Linked DNA regions of Mus musculus. The protein of the gene in region 1 purifies or fractionates together with the protein of each later gene. This does not show direct contact. Links are inferred from orthologs where the notes say so. Each region holds a gene or a part of one and is shown on either strand. Other genes may lie near its edges.

Region 1 (3,652 bases):
GGAAGACTTTGCCCTGCTGGGCAGCGGTCACTTACACTGAACATGGCGGCATATGTCTGTAACCCCAGCACTTGTTACGGGGTAAAGGAGACGCAGGAGGAGTTCAGGGCCAGCTGTGGCTGCCCAGTAAGTATGCGGGCAGATTGGGCTACGTTATTTGCTGTCTCAAAAAACTAAAAGATGTCAAGCATATTGATAAGGGAGGAGGAGAGAGAGGAACCCACTATTACCATGGAGGCTCATTAAAAACTTGCCGTGCGAAGCCTTTTGCATCAGGAGGGGACAGCTCTGTCTGATGCTCCGACATCTGCGGAAGTTTACTTGGCCCGTCTCCCGAGGTCTAAACTCACACCTCTAGCAGATTGAGTTCGACCACATTTTAAGCTTCTTCCTGTGGCGTAAGACTGGCGTAGCATTACCTGCATGTAGCAGGGCTAGCACGGCCCAGCCTCCCCTAAGTGTGCTCAGAGCATTTGCATAGCCTACGCTTGGTCAGAATCACCTAACACAAAGCCCACTTTATGATAAAGGTATTGAGTGGCTCCTGTAATTCATTAGATACTGTACTAAAAGTGAAACACGGGGTGACCAGAAGTGAATACTTCCTCATAAGGGGGAACCGTTAACCAAAGAGTCGGGGGCTGTGTGTGGCGGCAATGTCATTTCTCCCTTGGAAGTTACTTTAAGTAGGAAAAGATAATCTTCCCTCGTCCTTGGGGTGTCTTCCTTTTGTTATTTATTCGCTGAAATAATAGAGTTGTGTTTTTTAGGCAAATATTGCAGATTTTCAAGAGAACCAGTGGGTGACGTGTTTCCAGGAGTCTGCAGAGGCCATCCTTGGACAGAACACTATGTACCTTGGGGAACTCAAAGAGAAGGTTGGCTTTGTGTTTGTCCGCGCTGTGATAATGCTGGCCTTATGCCACTGAGCTGTTGAATGCTTGCTTTGGGTGTGGTGGATGCGCGCACTGAGTGAGGACTTACCTTTGTCTTTTCTGTATGTATCTGGTGTGAGGTAATGCGTCAGGGAATGCCATTGCACAGAAGCACAAGCCACCTTTGCCCCATCCCCATCGCTGTTTTTTGTTTTTGCATCAGAGCTGGTGTGTTTCCGGTCACTCCAGAGCTACAGGGTGTCTCCTGAAGTGTGCTTCAGCCTAGTAAACACCTTTTAGGAAAGTGGAGTCAAAGCTTGAAGTAAAAAAAGAGAAACGCAAGTGCATATCCGGGCACTTGCTGTTTGGGGTTGTCAGGAGAAGGTCATAGGAAGCCACTTTGGTGTGAAGGGAAGACTTCATTTTGCCTTGATGGTTGCTGTCTGTTGTCCCAGCACTTGGGTGGAAACAGGAGGTTCACTCAGACCTCCAGGCCAGCTAGTGTCCACAGTGAGTTCAAAGCTAGCCTGGACTACATAGCAAGACCCTGTCTCAAAAATATATACATTAGAGTAAACAGGTGAATTGGGACCCTTGGGGGGCCTCAGTGAGTGAAGCCCTTGCCAAGCAAATCTGACCACCCGAGTTCCATCCCTGGGACCCCTGCGACCCCTGGGGTGGTGGAAGGAGAAGACCTGCTCCATGCGGTTGTCCTCTGACCTCCACGAATGCGCCTGGCATGCACACCACACAGTCAAAACAAATGAACATTAACTGACTTTACCTTTACTCATTTGCCTTCTTATACACTAGGTTTATTTAATGCAGAGCAGAAATTATGCCAAACATAAGAAAGACACTAGCTAAGGTAAAAAAAAAAATAGACTAGTTAGTAAAAGCTGTGTTTTCTAGTTCGTGGGGATTGGTACCTGTGTATAGTGTCCTTCCCTCCTCCCTCCATATCGCTTGGATGCGTGTAGAGGCCACGGAGGAGGAGCTTTTGCCATTGTTTCCTGCACTTTCCTTTCTTTTTCTGCCCTCCACGCTGTTTAAATCACCCACAAGGTCTTAGCAGATAGTCCGTCCCGAGAAGTCCTTCCACACAGATAGCTGGAATTGACTTTTAAAGTATAGTTTGCCTTTTATCTGTCTTGCCCTCTGTTTTCATATCAGATTTTCAGGCTTGGGCAGCCTTTCAGGATTTTTTATGAGCTTATTATAGTTGGCTGTTCTTGGTGCTGGTGAGGACGCACAAGGCTTCCCTCAGGGAATGTGCTGCTCTGGGGGCCTGCAGCCGTGCTTCCCTGACCCCAAAGAGCAGTGGCGTCTGCTTTAAGGTTTTTTAAGATTTAACATATTTTCGTTTACATGTTGAAAATCCAAAGAATGTTTTGTTTTTTTTTTTTTCTCAAATGGCATCTACTGAAAGAAGTCTGTATGATAAAGCTGTTTCCATAACCATGTACCTGCAGGCTACTTAGCTTATATGAACTGTTAGTTTTATATACAGTTGATGTTCATACTTTGGGGGGGGGGTGTTTTTTCTTTGGTTTGGTTTGGGGCCCAAGTGTCCCTGTGGTATCACCCACACACCCCCAAATCAAAATCCAGCTTTGAAAAAGAATTACATCTCTGTGAGTTAGAGGCCAGCCTGGTCTACAGAGTGAGTTCCAGGATAGCCAGGGCTACACAGAGAAACCCTGCCTTGAAAAGCAAACAAAAAATTACCAAAAAAAAGTAACCAAATTCGATAGCATTCAAGGATTGGGAAGAAGAAGGTGTTTTGTGGCCTTGAGTATATGATAATGTGAACGCTTTTTTTGTTTTGTTTTGTTTTGAGACCGGGGTCTCACACTGTAGCCCAGACCGGCCTGTGTAGCTGAGGCTGGCCTCCGTCCCGCTGTGATCCTCTTGCCTTACCTACAGAATACTGTGATCACACGCTTGCGCCATCGAGTGTGGCTTTCCCTGGACTTTTCCAATTATTTTAGTGGGAGTTTTTGTTTTGTTTTTTTAAAGGTATTTTTTTTAAAGATTTATTTATTAATATATGTAAGTACACTGTTGCTGTCTTCAGACACTCCAGAAGAGGATCTTGTTGCGGATGGTTGTGAGCCACCATGTGGTTGCTGGGATTTGAACTTTGGACCTTTGGAAGAGCAGTCGGGTGCTCTTACCCACTGAGCCATCTCACCAGCCCCCAGTTTTTGTTTTGTTTTACTTGGCGACAAGTTTTTACTATGTAGACCCGGAACTCACAAAATATCCACCTGCTTCCCGGTGCTGGAGGTAAAGGACTTCCAGGCCCAGCTTCTGCTCCGTTTTTATTTAGTTTCAGTACAAATGTTTTACCTGCAGGGATGTGGGGCCGCTTTCCTGCCTGGTGCCTGAGGAGGCCAGGAGAGGCTGTCAGATCCTGGTTGTGAGTGACCTAGTTGGTGCCAGGAAAGGGCCACCATGTGTGTGTTAACCACTAAGCCATCTCTCCTGCCTCTCCTACCCATTTCCTGATTCATGCTGGGGCTCAGATAGCTTCCCCAACAAGTATTCCAAATTTTAGAAATGTGTTCCTAAGATTACTTAAAATTTTTTACTTGTGGTAAAAGACACATAAGCATAGCCATTGTATGGGATTTTTATAACCATTTTGGATACACACACATACATACATACACACACACACACATGCACACACATACATACACACCACATACACATACATACACACACACACACACACACACACACAATATGGCATTAGCCATATTCACGTCATC
Region 2 (3,652 bases), on another chromosome or scaffold:
GGATGTTTGGGCTCTTCTTTTATGGCTGTAATGCGCATGTGCACCATGTAACACAGCACTGCTGTGACGTTGTATATGTGCGTTTTAGAGGAGACGTTGGTTTTACGTAGTCAAGAAGCTTTAAAGCAAGTTGTTTACCTCATGATCCTGTCTTTATTTTAAAAATGATGACTGTATTGGCTTTCTGGGCGTGTTGTTAATGTTTGTGAAGTTTGGAAAATGGTGACTGCAGACACTGATAGCCCATTGTGACAGCAGCCCAGTCACTTGGCTGTGTCAGTTTGCCTCTGGGGAGTGTGTGGCAGGACAGGAATCTTCTGTGTTTCATCAGGCCTTTTTGATTTCCCCTGCAGATGAAGAAAGAAAAGTCCAAATTGGAGCGAACACCCCAAAAAAATGATCAAGGAAAAAGAAAAATTAGTCCAGCCAAGAAGGAGTCAGAGTCTAAAAAGTGCAAGCTGACTCTCCTAAAGAACAGTCCTATGAAGGCAGTGAAGAAGGAGGCAAGCACGTGCCCAAGGGGCCTGGATGTCAAGGAGACACATGGCAACCGCAGTAGCAACAAAGAGGAATGTCTGCTCTGGGTGGATAAGTACAAGCCCGCCTCACTCAAGAACATAATCGGACAGCAGGGTGACCAGAGCTGTGCCAACAAATTACTACGTTGGCTCAGAAACTGGCACAAGAGTTCTCCTGAAGAGAAAAAACATGGTGATTTCACAACTTTAGTCATTTTCTGTGTGTCTGTCAACATATGTAGTGCTCAGTTGTATTCATGGCCAAAGGCTCATGCATGGTTCATTTGCCTGTCATCAAGTATTTATCGAGGCTTGTTGAGTGCCCAAGTGCTCTAGGCCCTGGTGGTGCTTCTGTGAACAAAGCAGGCCCTTCAGGGGCCCCCAGAGAGTGGGGAGATTATGAGCCAGCTGTTAAAATGCATGTGCCAAGTGCTTTTGTAGGGTAAGTACAGGGAGCTAGCTCTGGGGATGCTGGTGTGTAGTCAAGGAAGAGGGTGTGAGCGCTCAGCCCTGGAGCGACCTTGGAGTCCAGGTAGCAGACAGCTGGGCTAAGGGAGATGGGTGTGGTATTGGGCTGGAGGAACAACCAGTGCCAGTGTCTGAAGGCCTGTGAGAGAGAGAATGCCCAGGGCCCTTAAGGAAACTGGAAGAAGCTGAGGTAAGCACTGGCACAGTGACCTACAGCCTCATTACATTGCCATTTGCTTTTGGTCTGCACTCTCCTCTCTGCTTTGCAAAGCTCTCGGGCAGTTCATAAATGGTTCCTTCTGATCTGGAGTGTCTGAAATATGGTGCATGTTAATGCTCTGGAACTTCTCTTCCCTAGCAGCAAAGTTTGGCAAACTTGCCAGCAAAGATGATGGCTCCAGTTTCAAGGCAGCTCTGCTGTCTGGCCCTCCAGGTGTTGGCAAAACCACTACAGCTTCTCTTGTGTGTCAGGTGGGTGCCCTGTCATAGTGCAGTGATCAGCTCGTGTGTGTGTGTGTGTGTGTGTGTGCGTGTGTGTGTGTCTGTGTTAATCTACAGTGTATATTTTTCTAAAGTCAAACTTTAGAATTTTCTTTGGCTTTAGTGGTGTTTGTCACTTCTTTTTTTTTTTTTTTTTAATGCTATTATTCTGGCTGGGTGTGGTAGTGCATGCCTATAATCCCAGCATTGAGGAAGCAGGTGAATCTCGAGGTTAATTCAAGGCCAGCCTAGTCTACATAGTAAGTTCCAGGACACAAGTCTTTTTAAAAAAAATCTAAAGAAAATTAAAGAAAAAAAAAACAAACCCCACCTTAAACCTGTTATTGAATTGGCTATTATAAAAACATCCATTTTCCCTTATAGGTGGAGGATGTGTTACTAGGCGCTCAGGAGATGCCGTGGCTGCAGGTGGTACAGAGCCCTGTGCACCGTGCCCTGCAGCAGTGCCACTTCATATAGTTAGTCTGCCTCCTGTGTCCTGGCACCCTCCTTGCCTCCCCCTCTTACTGTCTAGGGCCACGGTACTGGCTGGTTTTGTGTAAACTTGACATAAGCCAGACCTTAGAAGGAAGGAGCCTCAGGTAAGGAAATACCTCTGTGAAATCCAGCTGTAAGGCGTTTTCTCAATTAGTGATCAGTGGGGGAGGGCCCAGCCCATTGTGGGTTGGGCCATCCCTGGGCTGATGGTCCTGGGTTCTATAAGAAAGGCTTAGCAGGACAGACAGCAGACCCTCTATGGCCTCTGGATCAGCTCCTGAATCCAGGATTCTGCTCTGTATGTGTCCCTGTCCTGACTTCCTTCAGTGATCCACAGTGATATGGAAGTGTAAGCCAAATAAACCCGTTCCTCCCCAACTTGCTTTTCAGTCATGGTGTTTCATCAAAGCAATAGAAACCCTAACTAAGACAGCCATTATTAAGTAAGGGTTATTTGAATACACCCACTATGATACAGGCAGGTGGTCTGATACCCTGGCATGAGCCACCATACATAGCTTACCAGCTGTGGTTTTAAAACCAAACTCCTCTGTGTATGTGTTGTTTTAAGAATCTCTAATGCTGTGGGGAATTAGATTTGTGGCCTTTTGGTATCATACTTAATTTTTTACTCATGTTTAATGTGACTTTTGGAACCTCTGTGTTCCTTAATCAGCTGCTGCCCAGGATCATTTGCACTGTTATAATAATGATTTTTAATATTTTGACTAGGAATTGGGCTACAGTTATGTGGAACTAAATGCAAGTGATACTCGGAGTAAGAACAGTTTGAAAGCAGTTGTTGCTGAATCCTTGAACAACACCAGCATCAAAGGCTTTTATACAAGTATGTGCCCTTTTTGAACTGTGGCTATAGATGTGGTTTAAGAAAAACAAGTCACTTCAGTGTTCTGTAATGAGCACTCCTGTGTGGTAAGTATCCTGAGGCATCAAGATAGGAAAGGCCTTTGGCATAACTCTTCTGGGGCATTAGTTCTGCTCTGTGATCTCAGAGGTTTTTGAGACTGGGATAGAAATGTGTGCATATACAGTTTTCATTTTGTGTGTGATGTTGGACAGTTCCAGGTGAGTCTTGTAAAGGAGAACGGGGAGAGTGAAGTGCACCGTTCACTGAGGCCGAAAGCCTGTGTGTGTGTGTGTGTGGGGGGGGGGGGGAGCTGATTGTGTACTCTGCAGTAAAAGGATGACTTGATTCAGAGAGCCTTGAAGAATGAAAGGGCCCATTTATAGCAAGAAGGTGTGATCACTGTGGAAGGTTGTGTTGTAACTAGTGGTCCCAAAAGGCTGAGTTCATGGGGAAATGAAGATGTATCAGGTAAGGATCCACATGCCTGTGGAGAGTGCCATAGAACTGCGGTACTTTTATGTTAGAAGTTAGTTTTTGAAAGAAATTGCTCAGAAGAGTCCTCCCCCCTTCTTTCTTTCTCTCCTCCTTCCCTCCTTCTCTTTCTTCCCTCTCCCTCCCTCCCTCTCCCATCCCCCCACTTTTTCTGTCTCTTGGTATATGTATGTGGGTGTGTGTGGATGTGAGACGTGTGCACCTCACCACACCCAAGATTTTTTATGTGTGTTCTAGGGTTTGAACCCAGGTTCTTATGTTTGCAAGGCAGATACTGTACTAATGGGCAGTCTTTCCATATAGCTTGCTGTACATGGCTCTTGGAAGT

Evidence for each region. Proteins that work in one complex are often made in the same cells at the same time.
Region 2: the proteins of Rpa1 (region 1) and Rfc1 purify together in Homo sapiens (affinity purification with mass spectrometry; 3 studies listed by BioGRID, with this or other methods). This does not show direct contact. The link is inferred for Mus musculus from reciprocal best matches to the Homo sapiens genes RPA1 and RFC1.

What each region holds. Positions count from the first base shown.
Region 1 is NC_000077.6:75,303,334-75,306,985, reverse strand, and holds part of Rpa1 (replication protein A 70 kDa DNA-binding subunit), read left to right. Parts: intron 1-770; coding exon 771-878; intron 879-3,652. UniProt on the Homo sapiens protein: As part of the heterotrimeric replication protein A complex (RPA/RP-A), binds and stabilizes single-stranded DNA intermediates that form during DNA replication or upon DNA stress.
Region 2 is NC_000071.6:65,276,516-65,280,167, reverse strand, and holds part of Rfc1 (replication factor C subunit 1), read left to right. Parts: intron 1-353; coding exon 354-711; intron 712-1,344; coding exon 1,345-1,457; intron 1,458-2,696; coding exon 2,697-2,811; intron 2,812-3,652. UniProt on the Homo sapiens protein: Subunit of the replication factor C (RFC) complex which acts during elongation of primed DNA templates by DNA polymerases delta and epsilon, and is necessary for ATP-dependent loading of proliferating cell nuclear antigen (PCNA) onto primed DNA.